Macaca mulatta: one gene and its partners. The protein of the gene in region 2 purifies or fractionates together with the protein of the main gene of each other region. This does not show direct contact. Links are inferred from orthologs where the notes say so. Each region holds a gene or a part of one and is shown on either strand. Other genes may lie near its edges. The genes, in order: CLNS1A, WDR77 and GAR1.

Region 1 (3,656 bases), on a different chromosome or scaffold from region 2:
TACCGTTTAACCATTTAAACATACAATTCAGTAGTTTTTAGTCTGTTTACAGTATCGTGCAATTATCACCACAATTTTAGAATATTTTCTTCACCCCAAAAAGAACCTGGTACCCATTAGCAGACATTCCTATTTCCTTCTAGCCCTAGGCAACCACTGTATTGCATTAACATTTTTTTTTTTAGCTTCTTCAGGATTTTTTACTTTTTTTCTGCTAAGTGGTACAGATGGATGAAATATTATCAGAAAATTAGTTAGCCTCTACTGAAAGCTCAACATACTGATTTTGGTGATGTGCTTCCTTTGGTACACCAATAAAATATTTGCATTTGACCACATTTGAGGGAAAACTAGGCCTAGCTTTTCTGTGGCTTTCTCTTAAAGATGTTGAATAAATGAGAGGCTTCAGGGAGTCTGTCTCTCAAGGTAATAAATATTCCCTGAGTTGCGGTGAGTGTGATGACACCCATTTATGTCTTTTAGTGTAGGATTCATGGAGAAACGAATGATTACCAAGGATTTATTGCATACTTACCTCCTGAGCTCTTTGTTAATGGTTTTGAAGAATGTTAAATAAAGGAATGTGACGAGTCCTGCTGTCAAATAGCTCATATTCCATAAGGGCACATATAAGACTCACTACCACAGAGTTAAGTACTAAAATTTGCAAATCAGAAAAAGAAGAGGTCTTTATGGACTGGTGTAGTTGAAGGGAGGCCTCATGGAAGAGGGGAGGATTTGCAAAAGCAAAGAGGGTATTTGAAGACATATCAAAAAAGAAGAAGCTTGAAAGTCATAGAAACATACATGTGACTGAGGAAAATGGAATTTCAAGTCTGTTTGAATTTATAGCTAGAGGGAAAGAGACTTTAACAGAATTGATCTTAAAGAAAATTCGATTTCCACTACTGAATTTTCTTTTTTTTTTTTTTTTTTTTTTTGAGACGGAGTCTCACTCTGTCACCCAGGCTGGAGTGCAGTGGCCGGATCTCAGCTTCCTGCAAGCTCTGCCTCCCGGGTTCACACCATTCTCCTGCCTCAGCCTCCCGAGTAGCTGGGACTACAGGCGCCGGCCACCTCGCCCGGCTAGTTTTTTGTATTTTTTAGTAGAGACGGGGTTTCACCATGTTAGCCAGGATGGTCTCGATCTCCTAACCTCGTGATCCGCCCGTCTTGGCCTCCCAAAGTGCTGGGATTACAGGCTTGAGCCACCGCGCCTGGCCTGAATTTTCTTATTTTATGAACATTTCTAAAAAAGTAAGCTTGAATTTATTTATATGCATAAAGGTGTCCAAGCTGAACTTTTATGTACTTTGTGATATTACATTAGGATTTACTTTCTAAAACTAATCTACTTAAAACATGTTTTTCAGCCGCCTGTCTTGGTTAGATGGTTCTGGATTAGGATTCTCACTGGAATACCCCACTATTAGTTTACATGCATTATCCAGGGACCGAAGTGACTGTCTAGGAGAGCATTTGTATGTTATGGTGAATGCCAAATTTGAAGGTATGTATGGTGTAATTTAATCTAATGCCTCCTTTGATAGCAAATTATATTTTAAAAAAGAGTGTTTGATAATAATCAATGTAACATTGAGGCCATTGACTCATTTTGGATAGTAGTTTATTAAGCAAAATTTCAGCACAGCAACTTGGACAGTTGAAGTTTTCATAATGGACGTTTGTGTGTGTCTGTATATATTTCTATATATTTACACTTAGAATTCTTCATTTATTATGGATATGTATTTCTAACTTTCCTCTAAAGTTTCACTGTTTATTCTGCCTTTCTCTTTTTAAAAGGCACCCTTAGAGACTTGGATCAGTATACCCTGTGCTTCTGAGAATTTAAGATAGAACTGTTCTGTTTTGTTACAATAGTGGTTATCAGTGGGTGTAGGGGGAATATATTTTTCATAGACCTCCACCAGCCTCACCATTCCCCCACATTTGGCAGTGACATTTTGGTTGAAAGAGGAAGGATATTATTGGCATCTAGCAGTTAGATGCCAAGGGTGCTATTATTGTACTAAATATTCTGCTATGCGCAGATGGTCCCCCACAACAAAGAATTATTCCATCCAAATGTCAGTGGTGCCAAGGTTGAGAAACTGTAGGATATAAAGATTTTCAAGTTTTGCTTTGGGATAATTGCAAAGACTTGTAAAAATCTAGTGAAGATGTTCATGTTTAAAATAATGGGTTGCTTTTCTTTGAAGCAGTGTGTAAGAGACAATCCCATTTATTTACCTATAAGACTATTGCTCTTTCAAATTGGGATTTTAATATGGTTCCAGATATAATAATATGATCATTTATATTCAGTTGTGACACTATTTAGTAATTCTTAGGACTTTTGGCAAGCCCTGCCTCATTAAGTGGTAATGACTGATTCAGCTATCTGAAAATATTTTTGTTATAAGATTTCCAATTCTTGCCGTTGGAAAAGGTTCAAAGACATTTAAAAATCTAGTGAAGTCTGAAAAAGAGGATTAGGAAAAGTAAAAGGCTGTTAACCCTGGGGTGTAGTAGTGTAGTAAGACTTCCTAATAAGGCATTAGATACAAAATTTGCTTTTCATCTAAGTAAATGCAACTATGATTTTATAACTAAGAATATCATGTGTCATGTTTAGTTTAAAGCATTCATTGATTTCCAGAAATGCAAAACCTTAGAGGTACTCTTGCCAGTCAGCTCCAAATGCTGGTGTGAAATGGCCCTAAATAGTGACGGGCATTGGAGGTGGGAAAGGTACATATCAAGAGAAAGGCTTAGGAAATAGTGTTTAATAATAAAGGGCAAAAGCACATTGAATAAGAAAACTCTGTCATTAGGCCGGGCACAGTGGCTCACACCTGTAATCCCAGCACTTTGGGAGGCCGAGGCAGGCGGATCACCTGAAGTCAGGAGTTGGAGACCTGCTTGGCCAACATGGTGAAATCCTGTCTCTACTAAAAATACAAAAATTAGCTGGGCCTGGTGGCGGGCGCCAGTAATCCCAGCTACTTGGGAGGCTGAGACATGAGAATCGCTTAAACCCAGGACGTGGAGGTTGCAGTGAGCTGAGATTGCACCACTGCACTCCGGTCTGGGCAACAGAGCGAGACTCTGTTGAAAAAAAAAAAAAAAGTAAAAACTCTGTCATTAACTTGCTAGGCAAGTCATTTGCATCTCTCTGAGCCTGAATTTCATCCAGAAAGGTTAAGGGAGTATATTGGTCTCTGGTTCTCAAACTCAAGACTAACGGATACATATTAGAAATACGTGGGAAGCTTGTTTAAAATGCAAATGCTGTAAGTCCTAAACTAGGAAAAAGCAGTTCAGTAGGTTTTAGGGTGTGTGTTTTAAATATGTGCTCTATAATCTTACAGAGTCTATATGATTATTTGATTGTAATTGATGTGATTATGATTAATCCTTTCTTAGTAAAATATGCAGGATTTCCTATCTTACTAGAAATTAGTATCTTCCTGGGTCACATTTATTTCACTAATTCTCCAGTTTTTTTTATTTTTTTGAGATGGAGTCTTGCTCTGTTGCCAGGCTGGAGTGCAGTGACGCGATCTCAGCTCACTGCAACCTCCGCCTCCCGGGTTCAAACGATTCTCCTGCCTCAACCTCCTGAGTAGCTGGGATTACAGGCACCCACCGCC
Region 2 (3,091 bases):
TCCAAGGTCCAGTATCCTGGACCTTCAGGGTCACTTGCAAATAGTTTTACAATAATGTTGAATGCCCAGCTGTGCACAGTGGCTCACACCTGAAATCCCAGCACTTTGGGAGGCTGAGGTAGGCAGATCATATGAAGCCTAGGAGTTAGAGACTAGTCTGGCCAACATGCCGAAACCCCGTCTTTACTAAAAAGTACAAAAATTAGCCAGGCATAGTGGTGCACATCTGTAATCCCAACTACTTGGGAGGCTGAAGCCCGAGAATCGCTTGAACCCAGGAGGCGGAGGTTGCAGTGAATCGAGATCACGTCACTGCACTCCAGCCTGGGCAACAGAGTGAAGCTGTTTCAGGAGAGAAAAAAAAAAGTCAATGCCCTATGTCTATTATATTTGCCTTTTATTGCGTAGACATATGTGCTTTCCTGGTTAATGCTAACTCTTTTTCAGCATTTCTGCCATGCAGCCTTTCTGTTATTCTTTGTGTTTGTGTCTTATTCCCCCTGCTGAATTCCAAATCCTTTATTATTTTTTAATTTTTTGTAGAGACAGAGTCTTGCTATGTTGCCCAGGCTGGTCTCAAATTCCTGGGCTCAAGGGATCTCCCGCTTTGGCCTCCCAGAGTGCTGAGAGATTACAGGCATGAGCCATTGCATCCTGCCCCAAAACCTTTGAGGGTAGAGGAACCATGTATTCTTCATCTTTCCTTACCACCATGATGCTTGTCCCAGAGCTTTGCTTTTTTCAAGTGAGCAATAAATTCCTTTTCTTACTTCTTATTCTGTTGACTTTCTGTGAATTCTAGGGCTAGGAAAGAACTATGGAAGCTGGTTTAGTTCCATCCTTCTGCCTCAGGGAAGGGCCACATTCAGACTACCTGGGAAAGTCTGGTAAAATGACTGTAGAAAAGGTTTCCACAGTTTCCAATTAACATGTAGCAGTGACTTTAAAGTTTTTTACATGTAGACCTCCTAAAACAATTTTGAAAATCTGTGCCCCCTCATACATTTTAAAATTGATACCTAAAGAAATTTTTTAAGTAGTTGCAGAGAAGGTAATTTCTGGCATATAATTTATTATATACTTATTTCAAGCGTATATTTGTCCAAATTTTAGGTTTGCAGGTTAATCCTATTTAGTTTGTACAGATGTCTACCAAATAGCCTAACTGGCAAAAGCCAATCTGCATTGTAAAGCCAGTGGACCAAGTTAGACTAAATTTTCTGTCAGAAAAAGTCTGACTTTGTTTTTAAATTCAGATAAAGTTGTTGAATATGTCCGTATCACAACGATCTGTCATATGTTTTAGTTCTCGTTATTAGACAGAAACAGAGTGAAGTTACAGAACCATACTTGTGTTTGTGGTGTGACTGAAACAAGATCAGCGCCCCCTTCATTGAATTTTACCTAGATGCTCTTTCTTTTTGCTCTTCGGTTCTTAGGGAAAAGCCGCTTTTGTGCCTTAGTTTAGAACCCTTATGTTTTTATACCCCTGAGCATTGTACCATGGAAAGATCTGGGATGAATGACAGGTATGTGTTCTTTCTTTAAAGTGGAAGAAGGGTGATTGTGAAAATAGAGGCAGTTCAATTTTAAGAAAGAGAACATTAGAGAAATTGGCTCTCTTAATACTATTAGCGCCCAGAACTCCCTCGAAAGTTTTTGTATACTACTTGGAGGTATGTGTGCTCCAGTATGAAGACTGCTATTCTAGAATTATTTAGATCTCACGTCTAAGATGCCTTAACTGGAAATTCCTTTGTTATTCTTAGTAAGCTCCTAATTTCTCATTCATTGTTTTCACTAATACATTTTTTTTTACAAGGCTTTTTAGGTTTTATAAGTGTATAAACTTCTCCTCTTAGCTTTTGTCTGATCCATAATCTCCCACAAAATTTGTTAAATTGCATCATGAGACCAGCCCTCCCTCCCTCCTGCACCTTGATTACTCCTGGGCTGGCCCTCTTGTAATGCTTCAGCTTGTTTTCTATCATGTTTCTCTTTCTCTCTCCTTTATAGCTCATGCTGCACAGGTCACTTGTGTTGCTGCCTCTCCTCACAAGGACTCTGTGTTTCTTTCATGCAGCGAGGTAAGAGATAGCTCCTTCTTCCCTAAACACACTCCAGCCCTCCATAGGCCAAAGTCTCTAGTGTGGAGACTTTCTGGCCTGCAGCGCTTTGGACTGTGAGATCCTTTTTCTGTTCCGCCTTCCTCTAGGACAACAGAATTTTACTCTGGGATACCCGCTGTCCCAAGCCAGCATCACAGATTGGTGAGTCTGAGATTCATTGGTGGGAGAGTAGTACTTGGAACCCTGATAGAAGAGAATTTCTTTGGCCAGTGTCAAAGCATAGTTGCCAGATGCCCAGTGTAGTTACTGTGACATGAGTGACATAATCTCCTTCTTTTCCACTGAGACTCTGCTAACCCCATTCTTGCAATGCATACCAAGAGGAAGGGCCAGTTCCTGGGTGGCTGATTTACTTTATTAGACGGGAGGACAAAGGGGCCAGAATTGTTATCTTCATGATTTGTGCCTGAAACTTGCCTGTGACTCATGTCCAGAAAGGGCAGGAAGCTGGTGGATAAATGGTTATGAGGCTCAAGGATGAGGACACTGCTGCCTTAGCAGGGTTTGGGAAATCAAATAAAGGTGCTCCCAGGATTTAGAGTGATGTCATTTGAGAAACCGCTTCTTCTGGACTCTTTTGAGTTTTTGTCCAGACCCTTTTCTCTTCTTTGCAGGCTGCAGTGCGCCTGGCTACCTTCCTACCTCACTGGCTTGGCATCCTCAGCAAAGTGAAGTCTTTGTCTTTGGTAAGGCAGCATGTCAGACTTCATATTGACTCTGGGAAAGGGGAGGAGGAAAGAGAAAGAGCTGACTCCACAATGCACAAGGCCCTTGCTGCTCAGTCTTAGCCCTCATGGACACTAGATGAATTATGAATTGAGGGTGGGGAGGTGGGGTGATGCCAAGGTAGTTTTAGTGTAGCTTTGGAGAACATGATTATTTTCCCAGTGGATTTGATTTTTGATTGATGGATCTAGCTCCTATATTCTGGGCATGGCTATAAGTCAGTGAGCCACAAAGCA
Region 3 (3,656 bases), on a different chromosome or scaffold from region 2:
AAATCCTCGTGTGTTTTGTGTAGAAGAACTATGATACAATATGCCCTTTACATTTCATTATCTGAGAAATGTCCTCTTTAACCCCAGTTATAGGATGTGTATAGTTTTTGTATATCCTTCATTACTTTGTGTGTTCAGAAGATAGTTACCCTTTTGATCTTTATTAAAGACTTGAAACAGCTTGTATGCGAATGCTTTATTTTGAATTTTAATGCTATGTTTTAAATAGTTTTATTTTTCTTACGGCAGTTCTGTTGAGTGGAAATGTTAAATAATCTATTTCTAAAGAGAAATGAGATTGAATTGGTCTTGATTTTTTTATATGCATGTAATGCTTATTGTGTGCCAAAGTGCAAGTGCCTTATATACATCACTTTTTTGATCATCACACAAACATGTGAGATAGATACTCTATTCTCTACATTTTACAGATAAGGAAACTAAGGTAAACTAACACAGGAACAGAAAACCAAACACCACATGTTCTCACTCATAAGTGAGAGTTGAACAGTGAGAACACATGGACCCAGGGAGGGGAACATCACACTCCTGGGCCTGTCAGGGGGGTGGGGGGAAGGGGAGGGAGAGCATTAGGGCAAATACTGAATGCATGCGGGGCTTAAAACCTATATGATGGGTTGATAGGTGCAGCAAACCACCATGGCACATGTATACCCATGTAACAAACCTGCTCGTTCGTTCTGCGCATGTATCCCAGAACTTAAAGTAAAAAAAAAAAAAAAAAAGAAAAAGAAACCTAAGGTAGTGAGAAATTAAGTCCCTGCCCAGAGATACATAGTAGAAAGTGGTAGGGTTGGGGGGGTTTGAACCCAGGCAGTTTTGACTCTATCATGTAGCTTCTTAATGATTATACTCTACTGTCCCCCAAGTCGTACACTAATTGCTTTTATTATGTCTCCAGTTTTATATAGACCCATATAAGCTGCTGCCACTCCAGAGGTTTTTACCTCGACCTCCAGGTGAGAAAGGACCTCCAAGAGGTGGTGGCAGGGGAGGCCGAGGAGGAGGAAGAGGAGGAGGTGGCAGAGGTGGTGGCAGAGGCGGTAAGTTACTTGGGGAAAATTTCTGATGAAATTTCAAAGTCATAGCTGATTAATATAATACAATTTAGCTTTGTACATAGCAAACCCTCCCTTATGGTTCTTTTTATTAAAGCTGTTTTCAAATATTGGCAGATTGTCCATAATAATAATGCTTCATTTCAACAACTTGCTTAAAAAGAAAAAAATCTACTAAAGTATACTTTTGAGGGACTTCATTTCTTTGGGTTATTCATGTTTTCTTGGGCATTTTAATAAACCATAGGATTATCTTAATTTTAATTTCTTAGTTAATATCATTGAGTGTAGACTGCATACTGAAAGCTGGTCATACATTCTTTTAATTTCCGTGTATATTCTTTTAATACTCAGCAAAAGCTTTTGAGATAGATGATATCCTTATTTTATGAATGAGGAAATGGAGACTTACAGAAATTAATTTCCCCCGGTCAAACAATTGGCAGACCCAGAATTAAAATGCATATTTTCTGATGTCGTGTCAAGAACTAATAAATTCATTGCTGTGATCTCACTGTTTAGATGTACGCCTTTCCCCCAAGGTTTTGGCACATTCATCATTATGGGCAGCTAGGTGATCAGCAGGGCTCTAGGGAGTGAGACTGCCATGCCCTGGGAGTAGGAGGACAGGGAGTGATGAGGTAATGGGCAGAGCCAAAGTGGAAAGGGAGAGGAACTGAAAGTTGGGCTTAGACAGCTTTTGTTACTGGAGCCAAAAAAGAGAAGGAATGCTTTACTTTGGCATCTCTCAATTTAATCATCATTTCACTCTATAAAGGTACTTTTTTGTGTCCGTATAGGTAGGAAAATTTTCAGGGGTACCTTCTTGAGAATTTGATGAATAGAGATTCCCCTGTTCTCATTTGATGTTGAGTATCATTTAACATTTCAAAAAATTCACAACTATCTTATTTTTTTTAAATCTTATGTAGCTCAGTTAACCTTAACTATCATATTTATTATTGTGCCCCCAGAACAAAAGCACCCATATCTGCCATCCGTTGTTCTTAGGATACAAAGCCTTAGTTCCATCAAACTATCCTTAGTGGAATCAAAAAGTATTTATCATAAGCAAGAGCTAAGGCAATAATCATACATTTAACAAGACTGAATCATACTTTAAAGTAACAAGTTTTTCTAATTTATTGAAATTGAATAATCTGGGGATTTAACCTGTTGCCCAGTTGGTAAACTACTAGTTTCTTCATTTTTGTCTTGTAAAATTTTTTCTGTGATAAAATATGTGAATCTATATTTATTCATTATAATTATAGTTATTGTATTGATCTTTGTAGACTTATCAGTATAAGAGGTTATATAGTTAATAACTGTTAATGTTTATTATTTATCTGCTATTTAAATATTTTGCATTATTATTTAATAAATGTTTTTAGGTGGTTTTAGAGGTGGAAGAGGAGGTGGAGGTGGAGGCTTCAGAGGAGGAAGAGGTGGTGGTTTCAGAGGTAGGTATTATCTTTAAGTTGCTTAATTTTTAGAATTGATATTATCTGGCATTTTGTTTTTGCTTAAGTTTAATTTTTTCTGCCAGCAAGTATATGGAACACTATGGTGTTCTTTGCTTAGCCTAATTTGTGGTTTCATTTTATATCACTTGTTTTTGCGTTTTCAGTTTTTTAACCTAATTCTAATTTGTTTTGCTTTATTATTAATTTGAAAAAAAAGGTGTATATGAATCTGACAGTTACATTTGGTAAAGTATGGTTGCTAAACATTATAGGAACTAATGCTGATTTTAAACTTGAGATTTACGTTATAATACTATTAAAAATCCATTTTCTGTGCCCTTAATACTTTAATTTTCTCTTAATCAGGAAGAGGACATTAAGTGAAACAGTTGACAGACATCACCAGTTGACTTCTGTATTAACCTGCATGATCTGTTTCTACTGTGGATTGGAAACTTGGTTCTTTAGCAAGTCTTGAAGATCTTGGTCATTTTATGACAATGGATCAAAAATGTTAGCATCATGCAAAGCAACGGAATAGTGAATCTTGCTCTAGAAGAGCATGAACAAATCTTTCTAATGTTTTGTACAGTGCCTGGCACTTTGTGGGTGCCTAATAAATGGACGGGAGTTTTCATTTGAAGCATATTTGAATTTTTAAAATAAAGTGTTTTATTCCCTGAAGTTATTTAGAGTGTGTTTATTAAATGAAACCCATTTTTTGAAGTAGAAAGGAATAACTAAAACTTAAACATAGTGAATTGCAGATCGAAAAAAGGATTTATTTGTATTACTGATCTTTTAAAAAATAGGCTGCTGTAGCAGTACTTTAAGAGTATTTACAAATTAACACCCCCTTTCAAAACCCTGGCCTTTTATGTATGAGAAGATAGCTCTGTATTTCCCTTTTGTATTTTAATACATAAATCAGTTAAGCTGTTTCTCTAATTGCAATTAATAATTGATTTTAAAATTTTCCATATTAGTAACGTGTTAAAGATGGAGTAGCTCTGTTCAAGTGAAAAACTAGCAAGAAATTTTTAAAAAGCAGTTACTTTTTCTCATCCAACATGAATATTAAAAGTTTTACTGAATGTTATTTTTACTTTTT

What was found.
Region 1: the proteins of WDR77 (region 2) and CLNS1A purify together in Homo sapiens (affinity purification with mass spectrometry; 6 studies listed by BioGRID and IntAct, with this or other methods). This does not show direct contact. The link is inferred for Macaca mulatta from reciprocal best matches to the Homo sapiens genes WDR77 and CLNS1A.
Region 3: the proteins of WDR77 (region 2) and GAR1 purify together in Homo sapiens (affinity purification with mass spectrometry; 3 studies listed by BioGRID and IntAct, with this or other methods). This does not show direct contact. The link is inferred for Macaca mulatta from reciprocal best matches to the Homo sapiens genes WDR77 and GAR1.

What each region holds. Positions count from the first base shown.
Region 1 is NC_133419.1:78,053,782-78,057,437, reverse strand, and holds part of CLNS1A (methylosome subunit pICln), read left to right. Parts: intron 1-1,373; coding exon 1,374-1,510; intron 1,511-3,656. UniProt on the Homo sapiens protein: Involved in both the assembly of spliceosomal snRNPs and the methylation of Sm proteins.
Region 2 is NC_133406.1:128,801,710-128,804,800, forward strand, and holds part of WDR77 (methylosome protein WDR77), read left to right. Parts: intron 1-2,016; coding exon 2,017-2,087; intron 2,088-2,215; coding exon 2,216-2,270; intron 2,271-2,743; coding exon 2,744-2,815; intron 2,816-3,091. UniProt on the Homo sapiens protein: Non-catalytic component of the methylosome complex, composed of PRMT5, WDR77 and CLNS1A, which modifies specific arginines to dimethylarginines in several spliceosomal Sm proteins and histones.
Region 3 is NC_133410.1:119,124,997-119,128,652, forward strand, and holds the end of GAR1 (H/ACA ribonucleoprotein complex subunit 1), read left to right. Parts: intron 1-922; coding exon 923-1,064; intron 1,065-2,473; coding exon 2,474-2,542; intron 2,543-2,911; coding exon 2,912-2,925; 3' UTR 2,926-3,229; downstream 3,230-3,656. UniProt on the Homo sapiens protein: Required for ribosome biogenesis and telomere maintenance. Part of the H/ACA small nucleolar ribonucleoprotein (H/ACA snoRNP) complex, which catalyzes pseudouridylation of rRNA.